4 linked regions of the Drosophila melanogaster genome follow. The protein of the gene in region 2 purifies or fractionates together with the protein of the main gene of each other region. This does not show direct contact. Each region holds a gene or a part of one and is shown on either strand. Other genes may lie near its edges.

What was found.
Region 1: the proteins of CG2852 (region 2) and CG8993 purify together in Drosophila melanogaster (affinity purification with mass spectrometry, with the first as the bait; one large-scale study listed by BioGRID). This does not show direct contact.
Region 3: the proteins of CG2852 (region 2) and RhoGDI purify together in Drosophila melanogaster (affinity purification with mass spectrometry, with the first as the bait; one large-scale study listed by BioGRID). This does not show direct contact.
Region 4: the proteins of CG2852 (region 2) and GstO3 purify together in Drosophila melanogaster (affinity purification with mass spectrometry, with the first as the bait; one large-scale study listed by BioGRID). This does not show direct contact.

What each region holds. Positions count from the first base shown.
Region 1 is NT_037436.4:2,370,370-2,373,411, forward strand, and holds CG8993 (uncharacterized protein), read left to right. Parts: upstream 1-1,829; 5' UTR 1,830-1,912; coding exon 1,913-2,094; intron 2,095-2,156; coding exon 2,157-2,403; 3' UTR 2,404-2,507; downstream 2,508-3,042. Other genes in the region: CG1317 (uncharacterized protein), read right to left, coding at 1-1,293; mRpL23 (mitochondrial ribosomal protein L23), read right to left, coding at 2,540-2,698, 2,760-3,042.
Region 2 is NT_033778.4:22,644,133-22,648,102, reverse strand, and holds CG2852 (uncharacterized protein), read left to right. Parts: upstream 1-1,758; 5' UTR 1,759-1,831; coding exon 1,832-1,921; intron 1,922-2,057; coding exon 2,058-2,182; intron 2,183-2,568; coding exon 2,569-2,971; 3' UTR 2,972-3,457; downstream 3,458-3,970. Other genes in the region: CG34445 (uncharacterized protein), read left to right, coding at 1-114; CG34446 (uncharacterized protein), read left to right, coding at 340-525; CG30195 (uncharacterized protein), read left to right, coding at 894-1,072, 1,128-1,410.
Region 3 is NT_037436.4:19,926,766-19,933,491, forward strand, and holds RhoGDI (RhoGDI), read left to right. Parts: upstream 1-1,977; 5' UTR 1,978-2,143; intron 2,144-4,049; 5' UTR 4,050-4,065; coding exon 4,066-4,249; intron 4,250-4,322; coding exon 4,323-4,432; intron 4,433-4,497; coding exon 4,498-4,612; intron 4,613-4,925; exon of another isoform or gene 4,926-4,972; coding exon of another isoform or gene 4,973-5,077; exon of another isoform or gene 5,078-5,147; intron 5,148-5,216; coding exon 5,217-5,413; 3' UTR 5,414-6,165; downstream 6,166-6,726. Other genes in the region: Grasp65, read left to right, coding at 1-114; CG8004 (uncharacterized protein), read right to left, coding at 790-1,515, 1,589-1,672; CG46462 (uncharacterized protein), read left to right, coding at 4,973-5,077.
Region 4 is NT_037436.4:8,517,248-8,520,825, forward strand, and holds GstO3 (glutathione S transferase O3), read left to right. Parts: upstream 1-1,637; 5' UTR 1,638-1,706; coding exon 1,707-1,734; intron 1,735-2,264; coding exon 2,265-2,962; 3' UTR 2,963-3,048; downstream 3,049-3,578. Other genes in the region: CG6765 (uncharacterized protein), read left to right, coding at 1-11, 69-170, 225-411; se (sepia), read left to right, coding at 3,343-3,370, 3,427-3,578.

The sequences.
Region 1 (3,042 bases), on a different chromosome or scaffold from region 2:
CGATACAAACGCAGCGAAGTAGTAAACGTATACCATGCCAAACATCCAGTGGACAAAAAGTGAGGTGCCCGGAGCAGCCTTAAAACTCTCTTTACGATCCTTGAGGCTGGCATCTAGTAGGGGCAACGAACAAATGTCCAGCCACCAGCCGCAAATCAGCGGGAGTACTCCGATCTCCAACACCGACAGCAGCGACACCTTGACCACAATATAGCACAATCCAATGAACCAGCAGACTCTCCGCAGGCGGAAAACTCTGGAGAAGAAGTGCAGCACCACCAGGGTCAATCCAATGCAGCAGTAACCAAATAGCGTGGTAATCAGGCCGTGAAAGTGTAGCAGTGGTTTCTCGGGCTGCAAAAGATCCATGGAGCTCAGAATGAAGTTGCCCACGCAGTAGGGACAAAAGGCGAAGGTGAAGATGAACATGGTGTTCAGTGAGATGATCCAGAAGACGTGCTCCAGAAAAACTAGCGAGCCATCGAGTCCGAGCAGGCGTTCCCAGGTAAGCTCCTCGGCAGCCCGATCCCACTCCATGGGATTCCAATTCTGCTCATCGGCATCGGCGTCCACGACGGGAGCTGCAGCCGCTGGTGCGGCATCCTGGGCCTGGGCATCCTGCCCATCGTTGTCCGCTGGAGCCGGCGCTTCATTGTCGTCGGCATTGTTGTTGTCGTCCTGAGGCTGTGGAGCTGCCTCGGCGGCGGGATCAGGCGCAGGATTAGCAGCCGCTGCCTGTAGAGGGGCATCGTCCCGCTCCAGCCAATCGGGTCCGCCGCCATGCAGGATCTGCTCGCGCAGCCAGACCAATCCTATGAAGGACAAAAGTGTGCATGTGACCACAAAACAGCCCCGAAAGGCATCCGATGCCAGGTTTTCAACGGAGAAGATGTCAAAGGGCAGCGTGAGAATCATATCGAAGGAGCTCGCCCGGAAGAGGTACCGATAGGTCCTGTAGGCAGACAGCGGCACCACTCCGAACCAGGCCAAACCGACCAGGGTGTAATGAAGCCAGCAGCGAGCGCCCTCCAAAACGGCGGACATCAGTCCCACAAGGACATCCTTTATCGGCAGGACTCGCGGCATATCCGGAGCATAGATGGGCTGAAAGCTGAAGCTGTAGCTGCACAGCTCGCAGTATTCCTTGTGCGAGTAGCGCATCCATAACATCAGGCAGTCCTGATGAATGTACTTGATCGATCCAGTGCAGATGCACGGGTAGAAAAGAGGCCTATCCGGCTGTGCCTCGCATCTGCACACGCGGCAAATGTCGCCCTGCGACAGGTCGTCCATACTGATAACTTTTTCCCGGATCCTGGGTCTTCAGTTTGACTGAATTACTAAAGTTCCACTGGTCATTTGCGAAATTCGCTGGACAATTTCCGTAATTGACCCGAGGGTACGGGGGTTTTAAGACGATTATACCCGCCTTTTATGTGCGCCAATTAACCTTTCGATGATTACGGACCGTAATGCGATTGTAACACTTGAATTTTAACCGAAAAGTTGGGATATTATTACGACAAAACAAAACAAGACTACTTCTCAAAAAAAGGAGAGCCAATGTGTGCACACCATGAAATTGCTGATTATTTTCTCAACGGAGATGCCAACTAGTTCGATAGATTGAGAGAACGAAATATCGTTATTCATTTTTTAATCATAAATTGAAAATTAAAAAAGATTACATAGTTATGGTTAATAAATATAAGTTTTTAACTTAAATAATATAAAACAAAATTATCATGACCGGGAAGTAACAGTTAATGAAACAGTGTGTGCACACATCATTAGGCAATACCAATCCATCTGGCAACCCCACCACACTCATTGTTGTTGTTCTGATTCTCTTGTCATTATTTTGCAATCAATCGCTGAACTTTTTGCACTGAGAAATTGTAGAAAATAAGCCATGCAGCGACAGATTATTAACATTCTGGGACAGACGACGCGTCGCCTGGCTAGCGGCCAGCAAATTCGCATGCTGTCAGTTTCTGCGCCGCGACAGGAGATCTTCAAAGTCCAGAGCGCCGAGGACTTTGACAAGAAAGTAAAGAACAGCCAGCAGCCCGTGATTGTGGACTTCTTCGCAACGTAATTTTTATATTTTCAATTTGAGGACATGGCAAATTAATGTTTATATTGTAATCCACCAGCTGGTGCAATCCCTGCAAGCTGCTAACCCCGCGCATCGAGAGTATTGTGGGCGAACAGGCCGGTTCCATCAAGCTGGCCAAGGTGGACATAGATGAGCACAGCGAACTGGCTCTGGACTACGATGTGGCCGCCGTGCCCGTGCTAGTGGTGCTGCAGAACGGCAAGGAGGTGCAGCGCATGGTGGGACTCCAGGACGAGGACAAAATCCGGGCCTGGGTTGCCGCCGCCGTCAAACAGGCCAAGTAATAATTGAGAAATCCCAAAAAAAAAGTGGAGGTTGACCTCCTCGCAAATAAAGCTGAGCTTTAGGTTAATTCGGACTTTCGAAATAAATGTTTATTTACCCGTTGAAACGAAAAGTACTACGATTACACACTAAAAACTAAATGGAAAACCAGCCCGGCGTGCCGGGTCGCTTCTTGTTCCTGTCCAGAAATCTGCGGAAACCGGCTTTCGATTCATCCAGCGACTTTTCCTCCTTGGCCTGCTTCTCAGCCTTTTCGGAAAAGAAGTCGGGGAAGACAAAGGACTCCTCCCTGGGCTGGAATACACAAATATCATTGGAAATATCCATTGAATCAGGGGCTTGTAGTGGGCCATACCAATGTTACATAAGCCAGCTTCACGTCGTCTTTTTTGGTGATGTAGCCGTAGGTCTGATCCTTCTTGGTCTCGCCCATGGCAATCCGAGTACGCACATCCACCACCGGCAGCTTGTAGATCTTCTCCAGATAGTTACGCACATCGTACTTGGTCATTTCCATGGACACCGAAAAAGTGACCACATTGGGTGGCTGTTCCTCCGTGGGTCGGATTAGCTTCATCCAGAAGTTGGGAAGGAAAACGCGAAGCTGCGGATTGCCGCGCTGATAGATGGGATACCAC
Region 2 (3,970 bases):
TATGTGCCGTGCAAACAAACCGATCGAAGTCATTACTGCGGCAATTGCGGCTGTTACTTTGGACGTTCCATGAAGAGGAGGCAACCACTCAAATTGAAGGCAACCACCGCCTAGGCAGCATTGTTCACATATTTATTAAAATTCTTCTAAACACTCAATTTCCCACCCACTACTGCAATACCATCGAAACAAAAATAAAGCCAAAAATATCACATTTTCTCTTTTTTGGGCCGATTTTTTTCTCTTTGCATATCATTTGAACATTTTATTCCTACAATTTCTCTTCGCTAGCCTCAGTCTGCGTTTGTTTTTAAAGCAGTCAACATCTTTCGGTGCGAAATGGCTCAGGATCCGAAACCACTTTACTTTGCCGTGGGCCCCGGCCCCAACGACATTACGTGTCCTTATTGCAGGACCAAGGCCAAGACCCGTGTGGTGCGTTCCTGGCTGCGTTGCTGCACCAAGAGGCATCACTGCGGTGCCTGCGGGGAGTACCTGGGCGTATACCGCCGTCCACAACTTTAGATACCCACTGAAGAAGGATCATCGGATCCGAATTATTATAACACAATGAACAAATGTAGATCAGTTTTGTCATTTAATTTATATTCAATAATAATAATAAATATACTGCTGTTTGAAACGAATAAAAGTTTACTATTTAATGTGTAATGCTCAAAATGTACACTATACTTTTTACACTGTACATCCAATGGCATTTGTAACGCAGAGAGAATAACTCATTTGATTTCCATGCACTAACTTAATTACCAGACCAACGCCTCGGTTAAGAGAAATCGGGAGAGTGATTCTGATTTTGATTTTCCCTCCCATGATCTCTCCAAATTTGATCCATCTTTCAGTCACCGATCGTTCTCGCTGGAACTCGCATCATGACCGTGGACGAACCGCAGATTGTGGCCATCATTGTCAGCCACAAGCCACAAGTGGGATACCTGAAGGAGGAGCCCACCTGGATCCGTTGTCCTTCGTGTGAGAAGTCTGGAACCAGTTTGGTGCAACTGGAGTTGGTCACTTGCCTGCAGAGATTTCTGGGATTCACAAAACTTTGGTTGGCCATCTGCATGAAGCTTTATAAATCTTTCGTAATGTTCACTTTATTTCAGTAAAAAATGGTCTGGCCGCCAGGACATCAATCACTATTGTTCACACTGCGGTTGCTTCATTGGAAGATTTGTGCCCATCAGCTGCATGGAACGATGCATTTCGAGATCAGCCCGTAAACAGGCGGCCGTGGATGATATGACCCTGAAGACACGACCCAAGGATTGCGCTGAAAGGGCCCAGAAATCCAGGGAGAAAGTTCTGGCCAGCAGGGAGAAGAAGAGAGCAGAGAAGGCAGCCAAGGATATGGACAAATCTCAGACGCAAATAGCAGTACACCAATAAATAAAAGCATATTTTTTTACTTACTTTTTGTGTACAGAACCGTCAATAAAACAAGAGAGAATGCTACGTGCTAATGCAAACTGGACTTCTAATCCCTAAAATATTAAAAACTATACCAATAAAGTCAACTCTTCGAACTTACTTTGTTCCTTCGTACGAAAACCTTAACTTATGCTTTCGGCGTATTAACTATTTGAATTTGAATTTTCCGCCCGAATGTGTGATCATCAGACATCGTCATCGAATGGTCACACTTAAGCATCGATATTTCGACAAAAACATAAAAAACGATGGAAAACATCGATTGGCGATGCAACAAAGTTTTCTTACATCACTAACAGAAACCGAAAATTCAGTCGTGAAATATCCATTGGCGACGTCGCTTGAGGAATAAACTGAAGCGCTGTGAATATTTAGAACGATGAAGCTGTTCTTATCCGTTTTCGTGGTAGCCCTGGTGGCCGGCGTCGTTGTTGCCGACGATAGCAAGGGTCCCAAAGTGACCGAGAAGGTGCGTGCTCCTTGGACTTTCGTCCTTACATTCTGCATACACCACGTACATACACACACAAACACACACACACATTTGCTGCGCCATAAATCAAGTGAGATGACTTGTTAATAATAAACCGCTTCCGATTGCGTAGGTTTTCTTTGACATCACCATTGGCGGCGAGCCCGCTGGTCGCATCGAGATCGGTCTGTTCGGCAAGACGGTGCCCAAGACGGTGGAGAACTTCAAGGAGCTGGCGCTGAAGCCGCAGGGCGAGGGGTGAGTAGGGTACTTGAGTACCGAAAATACCCCAACATAGTAGGGTGCCAGGTACCGCTAGGCCAGCAAAAGATGCCGCTAATCAGCGGCACTTTGTAGGTTATAGCGGGGCTCTCAGATTGAAGCAATTACGTGGCGTTTGAGCGGCCAATCGCATACATCAGTTGACAAAGCGGCACTAATGGGTTAACAAAGAACGCCAACTGTTATTAAGTCTACCATACTATAAAAGTGCAGTTCTTGGGTATTTCTTTTTTCTTCTCTGAATTTATAAGTATGCATGTTCTTTTTTGGTTAGGTTTCGAGTTCTAAACCCAGTTTTTTTTTAAATTTAAATTCCCATGCTGACAAAACTGACCATCATGCAACGCTCTTATACCCCGCAGCTACAAGGGCAGCAAGTTCCACCGCATCATCAAGGACTTCATGATCCAGGGCGGTGACTTCACCAAGGGCGACGGCACCGGCGGTCGCTCCATCTACGGCGAGCGCTTCGAGGATGAGAACTTCAAGCTGAAGCACTATGGCGCCGGCTGGCTGAGCATGGCCAACGCTGGCAAGGACACCAACGGATCGCAGTTCTTCATCACCACCAAGCAGACCAGCTGGCTGGATGGACGCCACGTCGTCTTCGGCAAGATCCTGTCGGGCATGAATGTGGTGCGCCAGATCGAGAACTCGGCCACTGATGCCCGCGACCGTCCCGTCAAGGATGTGGTCATCGCCAACAGCGGCACCCTGCCCGTTTCGGAGGCCTTCTCCGTGGCCAAGGCCGATGCCACCGACTAAAGTGTTTGGGGAGCATGTCATCCATCAGCAACATAACCGATTTGAACTAAGCATAAACGCATAATCGATTTTTCCAGACATTTGCATTTACCATAGCTCGCCATGTTTATTTACATTTCGTTCCGTAAGCAAGTAATTGTGCTCAACTAAAAACAGAAATGGCATAAATAAAGAATGATTTTTTGTGTGATAAAGAGCTGGAATCGTTCTGTGTGTCTATACCATGATGCCGGTGGTGTGCAGGTTCAATGAACCGGTTTTGGTTCCATCGCTTTCTTTTGGCTCTGACTTCCCTTAGTGGCAACCGGTTTGTGCCTTCTTCGCCAATTTGTTTGCCTTTGTATGTTGTGCCGTTCTCGATTTAGATTGCCCATGTTCTGTCTGTTTTTTCTCTTTGTTGTTGATAAACAACGCTCGGTTCGTCACATTTTTCTGATTTGCACACTTGCGACAAATTAAAGAACACACAGACGAGTTCATTTGTATATTTATTCAGTTTGTTTGGGCCTGCTGGGAACTAATTGTATATGATTGAATGAACAGGTGCATGACTGTCTCTGCAGAAGTTAATCGGGTCGATTGATACTTAAATAAGTGCCACTGGCTCATCTTTCGATCAAGTATCCTGTTCTTTATAGAAAGTTTCCTTTCACAACCCTTGGACTAAATATTGATTACTATATACATACCATACTATACTATCCCATGTATATAGAGGTGAAAGCCCGAAACCAGCCCTCTAGTAACTAATTATATATAGCATAATTTTTCAGATCTCAGACGCTGATGAATTGGCAACTTTTACAATTAGCGAATGCACTCAAATGCAACAACATTGTCTAGAAATGCATATGTCTGCCAATCCTTAGACTTCACGTCCCCCAATCTTTTGTTTAGAGCGAGAGAAACCAAGAACTGAAGAGACGATCTCATATCGTTCAAATGTGGGGAATCGTATATGTACATATATATGAAGACGTACATATGTGCAATTGTACC
Region 3 (6,726 bases), on a different chromosome or scaffold from region 2:
CCGCCGCAGATGGCCCATGTGTTTGCACCACCAGTACCACCGCAAGCTGGCGCTGCTCCGGCGGCAGGCAACGACGAACTATCCGGACCGGCAGTGAATCAGGCTGGAAACTAAGACTTCTACTGGGCCAACTGCTAATGGACCAACTGCTAAACCTGGACAAATTGTTAAGCTTTTATTTTCGAGAATCATCTGATTGTTTTGTATGATTGCGTTAGCAAATATCACAAGTGGCGCGATTGGTTCGGCCATCTGCATGCAAAGATGTGTACATTGCATTCATAATAATAATCTAAATTAATTATAACAATAAATCAATAAAACTATATGTGTATTTAAGGTCTTTACATAAACGAGAGTTCAATTTCTTCAAAAGTATGAAAAGGAAAAGGCAGCAATGTTCAAAAATCAAGACTATTTTTTTTTTTGGTTTGCTAAGAAAACAATTTATTTGATGTATTATAGCAAATACTTACACAATTTTATTAGCAGAAAAGTTATTTGCTGCAAAATAAATGAAGTAAAGATCGTTAGAAGTATTTTAGAATTCCATTTAAACAAACTTGCAGATTGAGTCACTTGTGCAAATGATATTCACATGGATTTTTGGACATTAATGGCAGCAAAATCACTAGAACAACTTTTTTTTTTAAATGCTAGTAGCAAAATAATTGTGACTTACGGCGACGATTTGTTTTAAGGGCATTTAGAATTGCATATATAAGCGGTTAAAAAGAAAGGACAAGAGCAACTTAATTGATAAGCATTTAAGGCAACGACTACGTATAACTAATTTGGTAGGCACCTCGTCTGAAAGTACTTCTCATCGACGAAGCGACAGAACTCGACCAAGTGCTGGAACTTCTGCACCGTTTGGGCCAGCGCCATGTTCGGCAGCGTGGTGGTCAGAATGCTGAAGAGGTGGCCGAAGGCGATGGCGTCCAGTTCGCAGGGCTGATCGCCGTAGAAGAATGGCGTTTCCGGCGACTCTTTCAGCTTGTATTCGAGCGTCTCACAGCACTTGGCCACCTTGTCAATGACGCTATCGATGTCCAGGTCGTCCCACTGATAGACCTTCAACAGACGCAGCGCGTTCCGCCGCTTTCCATAGTTCTGCATGTGATTGAGGGGCCAGGGAAAAACGACTCCGTTCCTGGGCGCTGTGACCTCTTTGTAGACGCGTTCGTTCTTGAAGCTAATGTACAGCTCAGCCATGGTGAAGATGTTCTCCACCAGCGACACATAGGTGCGCATGTCGGCCTTCTCGTCCTCGTCCTGCCAGCTGCCAATGGCCAGTTCCTTCTGCTCCACAAAGTTCACGATCGGCTCGAATTCGGCAAAGATGAATGCTCCTGCGCGGATGAAGGGCAACTTGGTCATCCTGCCGCCCGGCGACATGTGCTCCGCGTTGGCACAGGACCGAATCAAAAAGGGGAGGTTGCACATCTTCAGGTAAGCCTTCACAGCAAGGCAACTGGCGTTTTCCGGCAGTAGGATCTGTTCCGCTTCATACGGCTGTTTTTTTTAATGCACATTAATGAAAGGTTAATGTTAGTGAAGATTCTGGACCTATAAACCAGGACCTTACCTGGTAGAGGGTGGCGTCTTCGGGCCAGGGCTCGGCGGACAATTTGTCGGCCGTTATTAGCTGGCTCAGGTACTGGGATGTCATTGTAAATTAACGGAGTAAATTGTGTTTTTCAACTTGCACACCGAAATCGCCGATGAAGTAACAAGCAGCTGTTTGTCGGCGTTGCCAGACTGTTGCAGACAATGACCAAACAGCGATTCTTATTAGAAATTGCATTTCAGCAAGATTCGTTAAACTAATTAATAATTTCTTTTTAAACCCATACTTACAAAGTATAAAATAGATTTAGGGGAAGCTGTTTCAAAACTAAAAACTTTTTCGAAAAGCAAGTATTTTTGGACAGCAGTGTGAACGGATGACTTCTTCAAGTCCATCTCGCGTTTTGGTATTCTGTCCACCAAAGCATACGTTCACACTTGTAATTCTTATTTTATATTATTTGCTTTGTTTAAAAGTTAGTTATCAAAAGTTGTTAAAAATATAACATACAGTTACTTTTCAGTGATTAATTTTCAGAGATCGTACTATTTGATTAATTTCGCATATTAAAAGGTGAGTGCGCGTCGTTGCCAACTTGCAACTGTGTGTGTGTGTGAGTGCGGTGCCTTCCAATGCATTTTACATAAAAAAAATATTTATAATATTATTATATTAATTTAATACAAGCTGGCATTGATAGCAAATGTATGTAGTTGGGTGACTGCAGGCCAAGAACCACTCCCAAAAATTCTACTTGAAAATCAGTGACGATTCATGTGCCGGCCTCAGTGTGAGTGTGTGTGTGTGTGAGCTGGTGTGTGTGATTCATTCGTCTGGGGTTTTAACATTCTTCGTGCACATTTCTTTATCAAAAAAAGAGAAGAAAAAAAAGTGGCATGGTTCGTACTTTTCCCTGAATTATCCCCACACTTTGTCTTTGGCGGGGGGTCCTCTCTCTCTCTCTCTCTCTCTCTCTCTCTGGCAAGCCCTCTCGCTTGCACTTCCTTCGACGCTGGCACATTTGTTTGGAATTCAAATTTTCAGTTCGGTCAGATTGTTCTTGAAATTACCTTTTCTCACCCATCCTTAATTGTTGCGATTGTATTTATTGGCCCAAACTTGCGTTGTTAGTCCGAAAATTTTTTGTTTATTATTTTTTGCCATTCCCACACAAGCACGGAGAGAAATTGTGAGTGCTTTTCATATGCCTAATTTGGAAATATTACGATGAGATCTAAAAACCGATACTAAGATTCAAACTATTGATTTTTAAGCACCAATAATATTTACATTTACAAGTAAAAAACAGATAGATAGATAGATAAATATTTATTAGCTTTGAGAATTTCAAAATATGTTTTGTATAAAATTGAGAAATACATCATTATTACTACTGTATGTACACATGGGCCTGCAAAATCGTTTTGTATAGACACAATTTTATTACCTCAACAACAACTCGATGTCAAGTAATAACAATTCAATTTCATGTATTTTTTTTGCCCGGGTACACTGCATATGTATGTACATATATATAAAGCCAAATCTGGAGAATCGAGAATTATTATTGGCCCAACAACATTCGTTGAAAATGGACAGAGAGCTGGCGACGTGTATTTAGATAGTGGAAAACAAAGCAAGATAACAATAAAGCCATTTTCCGGGGGGCGGTGGGTTTGGCTTTTTGTCGCCAGTTCCCAGTTCTGGTCAATATTATTCAATGCCGATATCCGCTCTCTCTCCCTCCGTCGAGTTCGCCTGCCTTATCTAACTGCCGCTCCGTATTTGGTTGAACCTTTTTTTTTACTTTGCGAGCGGACCAGCTGCAGGTCGAGCGCCCCTCTCTGCCCCGCCCCCTAGACAGAGAACACGTCAGTTCATCAATGCGTTAATAATTGAAATTTAATCAATATTATTGAACGGGCTTATGAAGTGGCTACATTTGTTCGCAACGGAGGCACTCGTGTTGCCAAAAAAGTAAATAAACCCGCTTTATGGCCAGCGAATGATAACGTAATCAGTAGCGAAGTATATGGAATATGTTTGCGATCGTTGTTATTTGAATTTCAATATTTAACATTGTAATTTGTAGAAACAAATGTACTAACTACTCAACTATATATTTAGATGGCAGGTTTTTTTTTCGAATTTCTTCCCTGCATTGTTAAGTTATGAGCTCAACTCTCCTTAGGGCGACAATTTTCAGAAGAAAAAACACTCTTCCTACATTTTTTGAATGAGGAATACTTTCATACACTCCGATACGATGTAGCAGATATGGTGGCGCACATGCCATTAAAATGGAGGCATATACATATGTGTATAAAACAACATCATTATCGTCAAAATGTTACTCACACTACTAAAAATATGCCTATGACCCACAAGCTTCACCCAGAGAAACCGACGCATACTAAGCAAAATCCGAAGCAATATTTAAATGTAATTGATTGATAAACAAACAATTGCCTTTGGACAGTTCTAGGTTAGCAATCATGGCCGAAACAGAGACGAAGCACCATCCCGAGCACCACGACGACGATGTCCACGATGCCAACTACCAGGCGCCGCCGGAGAAGACCATCGAGGAAATAATGGCCGCCGATCAGGAGGATGAGAGCTTGCGGCGCTACAAGGAGGCGCTCCTGGGTGCCGCCCAGACCGAGAAAATTATTGTTGGTAAGGGGCGGTTAACTTGGCCTCTGAAAGTGGAGGGTGCAGAATATACTAAAGCAATAACATTTTTACCCAGAACCCAATGATCCCCGAAAAGTTATTGTAAAGAAACTGGCCCTCGTTGTCGAAGGACGCGACGACATGGAATTGGATCTTACCGGTGACCTTAGTCAGCTGAAAAAGCAGGTAAATATCATTAACCATCATCATCCATTCGACTACTTTTGTTAATCAAAACCCTATTGCGACAGCTTTTTGTGATCAAAGAAGGTGTTCAGTACAAGGTGCGCATTGATTTTATTGTGCAGCGTGAAATAGTCCATGGCCTTAAGTATGTTCAAAAGACTTCTCGCTTGGGTGTTAATGGTGAGTATTTAAACATGACATTTGTATTTTTAATTGGCAGAATATAGAATAGATTTACACTCTCAATTCTATCAACATTATATGTCTTTACTTAGGGCAAAGCAATTATATTTCTTTTTTGTCCTACCCTAATTTTCTATTAATTGATTTATTTATTTACTGACCTAGTGCCCTAGTATTGTAAGAATAAAATTAAATTAAAACCGGGTCAAAAGATACTTGTTTTTAGTTATTTTCCATACGTTACACTATGCGAGCACTTCTAGGTCTTCAATTTTCCGTGCTGACGCGAAATCGTTAGTATTACACCTCAGTTTTTGATTGACTTTTGTGCGGGCTAGTCGAGTTTTGTTTCTAGCAATGGGTAAAAGCTGGTTCAATGGCACAACCATACTGGTGGGATTTTGCAGTGCTGCCTATATCCTTTTTTTCACAATTGCCATACTAACTTTAGTCATGTGTTGAGAATAACTTGTATTCCATTATCTCCAATGCCAAACCCTAATTTCGGAATGTATAATTTTTTAAGTTGTGGGTAAGCTGGTGCAGCCCATCCGCAAATGTGTATCCTTACTAAACTGACTGTTTTCGCATTACTCCATAGTTGACAAGATGAAGCATATGGTTGGCTCCTATCCGCCGAAGAAGGAGATTCAGTTCTATTTGACGCCCGCCGAGGAGGCACCTTCAGGCACATTCTCCCGCGGCACCTACTCGGTCAGTTCGGTCTTCACGGATGACGACAAGCACATACACCTGGAGTGGGACTGGACCTTTGAGATCAAAAAGGACTGGGCCTAATTGGCACACCGAACAGCACACAACAAACACACACGACACACAACTTACAACATACATCATACGCTTTTTGTTTTCCCTCAAACATGCCTTGTAAATGAGTTTAGTTTTGTTCCAAAAGTGTAAGCGAATTTTTCCAAAAGTGTAATTGATCGTCAAGTATTTTTGTTAACGGTATTAAATTTTAAATATTTTTGTAACTAAAGTGTAATGTAAAGCCATGATAAGTATTTTTGATACCCTATTTGCAATTGGAATGTGTGCAGATGAAGAGCATTTTTCGCCTAAGTCCTCCTCAATGAGAGTCAAGTCAAAACCAAGTCAAGTCACTAGGCCAGTCAGTCAGTCAGTCAGCCAACCAGTCAGTCAGACAGTCAGTCGTTTGGTTCTTAATGCCATTGCCTATGTTTAACATACATTTTCAAACAGATTAACAATTGAGTAATTAACTTTAAGAAAGTTGTTTGCATTTCGCTGTGTATTTCAAATTGAAGAATGGAATAGTTTATTGTAAGAACAAGTCGCCTCAAAACTAAAAAGAAACCGATTAAAATCGTGCAACACGAACTGTTAAATGCAACTAAAGCTGATGCTTTATTATGCATTTGAAGTTTGTGCAACATGGAGTTACTTAAATCCACATTATTCTAACTATATATCTCTGTGTATTTTTTGTGTACAACATACCATATATGCGAAAGCTGATTGAATGCAACCGAAGAGCAATAAAGAATAAAGGATACATATTTTAAAATAAATGCCTAAGTGAGCGAATTCTTTTTCCATGATATGGGTATCCCATAAATTATAGTGGCAGTGTGTGCACAGATTTCTCCGTAGCCAAAGATAAGTTGACTTCACACTTTATAATGCTTATCAGCTTACATTGCCAAGGGGCAAACGTCATAAATTGTGGCCAGCAGAGCGAGTATTACTCATCCGCCCTGTGAACGGTCACCAAATATTTTTCAAGGTGTACAAAAGAGAGAATTTGTGAAACACACTTCTCTGTTTACATTCGCAACCAGCAACAAGTGGCCAGCCTCTTGTTGCGCCAGACATTAGCAGCATGTTGCCCAACAATCGCCGCTTCAGAACAGAAAATAATAATAACCGCATTTTATATTCCAACGCACATTTGTCTTCAGAGTCGCGAAAACCTGCATGAATAAGCAAGTTACTTTTTCGGAAATTGCTATAGTTGCCAGCAGAAAAATGGTGTAATTTAAGAAAAACAAATCATTTGTGTTTTCGGTAAATGGCCTGGGGCATTCGTATGTTTTTTGGGGTCCTTTAAGGGTGCGATTTTCCAGGAT
Region 4 (3,578 bases), on a different chromosome or scaffold from region 2:
TTGTGTTCCACGTAAGTGTTTGGAGTTATAGAAGCAAAATATATACTAACTCCCTTTCCCATGTGCAGATCCTTTGATACGCCGGCGGAGTGGGTGCGCCACATGAACAGCCAGCACACGGAGATCGAGTTGGCCATGTTCAACAGCAAGAAGGATGGCGAGCAGAAGGGGTGTGTGTCCTAAGGGCTAGCAAAAGCACACTGATGAACTCTGTTCACTTGCAGCCAGCAGCCACCGCCACCGCCGGCGACCAGCAGCTCTTCCACAGTGTCCAACAGCCAAATGCAGCCAAAGTATCCCAGCTCCACCGCCACCAGATCGACGCACTCCCTCATGCTGCACAAGATGAGCAACAGCGATGCAGTGGCCACAACCACATCTCCTGGAGCATCCACCTCACCGAATGGCTAAGGCCAGCCATAGGGATCAACTTCAAAGAACCATTGGACCATTGGCGAATGAAGCTGAAGGATTCGAAACCGGATGCCCATGGATAAATTTGAAAACAGCCATATTCTTCATTCATTTTCAAAAATCTCAAGTCGTTCCAATAATCAAAAGTGAGATGGATGTTTATATGCAACAGCAAGAACCGTGATCAAAATGCAACCAGTTTGCATATTTTATAGAGCAACAAACAAAATACAAATTGCGAACAAAAAAAAATTAACGAAACTATAAACGAAACTTAGAATGGAAATCGTCAGGCAACGATGCAAAACAAGACAAAGCAAGAAATTCAGAAACGAAAGCAAAGCAACATTTAACTCCAGTGTGTAGAATTTTTTTAAGTGTACGTATTTACTTAGTTTTAGCTATTTATCCCATGTATTTACCGTAACAACAACGCGCAATTGATTCGGGAAAAAAAACGATACAGTTTAATCATTAAATTTTAATGTTTACCATTTGCGGACATTTTTAAAATGAATTAAAAACTAAAAATTAATCATCCACTTGAGTTTTCAAAAGGATGCATCAAAAGAAATCCCATTTGTAGGACCAAAAGCAGCGAAAGGATCTTTTTACATTTTGATAAACAATTAATTCCAGCAGCAAGTGTAGTTGTCATTATTTATTACTTTCCAATTTGGTTTTTCGAATGCAATTACTGATAACAACTATTTATCGCGACTCAATGATGTCAGCAACTCTGTTGTATATGTATTAATACTTTTTTGTATTTTTTGTAAGGCATGAACGGAAATTTCGAGAACTTTTTTGTACATAGATTAAGTTTGATTTCGAAAGTCCGCCGATCGAAACTTTTTACGAAAAGTTCATAAACTTAAAACTCTAAATGTACGTAGTAGTTCCGAGGTTCAATTAAAAACAAAAATAAAGCTCCCCCCAAACCATGTAAAAACAAAATATATCTATATTTACAAACAGGCGTGATTATTAACAAACTAAGTAGATGTACTATGTATAATGCGGAGGAAATGATTGTCTCTTCCCACAAAACAAATCGCAAATGTAGTAAAGCGTTTTAAATCGAAATAAACGTCTGCGATGAGAAATCGTTTTTAAAAGCTAACGAAAACTAAGAGTCACGTCGCAAAAAGCTCGATTATTCTTATTCGCGTTAAAACACAAACAAAAAACTTTATATAAACAGAGCGCCGTCGAAGAGAAAACTCAGTTCGCATTTCACCGTCGACATTTCAACAGTTAAGCGAATTTGTTCAGTTCTGCAATTAAACAAAATGAGTTCTGGTAAACATTTGGCCAAAGGTAAGAGAGCAAGCAAAACCAGTTGTCGCCGCCGCCAAGAGAAACGCCCATGTCATTAGAGTGTTTATAGTATTATTTATAAAACAAGTTCTCCAACATTCAGCGTAATTATCGAATAACGATTTTTATATTTCATAATGTTAAAGAATATTGGCATGAATAACTGGGATTTTTTGGTTAAAAAGTTAGAAAGGTATATTATTTGGTAAATTTCAATACGATCTTTATTCTTTTACAATTGTAGGTAATGCATTAAATTAATTATTTGATTTGTAAAATTTACTTACATTTTTAGCTATAGCTTTCACCCCGATATCAGATAACCCATAATATTTACACTCTAAAAGATAACGTAGCTACAAAATTTGAGCTTTATCACGACTGGGCCCTATCAACATTAACTTAAGTGCAATGACTTGCTAAACAAATAATAATACAGGGGTGGATTTTAGGGTTCCACAAGTGACTCATGAAGTTATTGATTTATTTGTATAACCTAAATTTAACTGGTAAATAAATTCTATCTTTAGGTTCCCCCAAGCCTGTACTCCCTGACGATGGAGTCCTTCGCCTGTACTCCATGAGGTTCTGTCCCTACGCTCAGCGGGCTCATCTCGTCCTGAACGCCAAGAATGTGCCCTATCACAGTGTCTACATCAATCTCACCGAGAAACCAGAGTGGCTGGTGGAAGTGAGTCCGTTGCTTAAGGTGCCTGCCCTGCAGCTGGTGGCGGAGAAGGGTGAGCCCTCGCTCATCGAGTCGCTGATTATTGCCGAGTATCTGGACGATAAGTACCCGGAGAATCCGTTGCTGCCCAAGGACCCATTGAAGCGGGCACAGGACAAGATTCTGCTGGAACGTTTCAGCAGCATCACCAGTGCCTTCATAAACATCCTTGTGCAGGGCACCGGTCTGGAGGATTACTGGACGGCACTTGATATCTTTGAGGAGGAGTTGACCAAGCGGGGCACCCCATATTTTGGCGGCAACAAGCCGGGATTCGTGGACTACATGATCTGGCCCTGGTTCGAACGCCTCTCTGTAATCGAGTTGAAGTTGCAGAAGGAGTACAACTTCAACGAGAGTCGTTTCCCGAAGATCACCAAGTGGATTGCCCTCCTGAAGGCGGACTCGGTGGTGCAGTCCTTCTATGCCACTCCCGAGCAGCACAACGAGTTCTGGCGCACCCGCAAGGCCGGCAATGCAAACTACGATCTGCTGGCTTAGATCGGTACTGAAAATGAAACTATTATATAACAAAGGAGATTTAATAATGTTCTAAAAACAATAAAAACTAAAATATTTTATGTGACAAAGAAATGAATTAAGGCTAGAAAGGCAAGAATTCCGTTCCAGATTCACAGAACGTGGTTCGAAAAACTTAGTTCTTAAAAAGTTTTGTTTTAAACAAATATTTTGGAGCAATATGCAGGTTGCAAGGGGGCTTCACTGTATCCACATGGCTTGGTATGTGTGTCAGCCGCAAGCCACCAAGTTCAGCCGCGTAAGCGAAGCCAACCGGCGAAGGGCAGTGAGCTGCACTTTATAAATCACTCGAATGACAATCGCTATCACCACTTGCATCTCTGGACCCGAGCACGCACATCATGAGTAACGGCAGGCATTTGGCAAAAGGTGGGTAGAGCCAGGAAACCAGGATAATCATAATTGATAATAAATGCGCCCACTAGGCTCACCCATGCCGGATGTTCCCGAAGATGGTATCCTTCGCCTGTACTCGATGCGCTTCTGCCCATTTGCCCAACGGGTGCATCTGGTCCTGGACGCCAAGCAGATCCCGTATCACAGCATCTACATTAATCTCACAGACAAGCCGGAGTGG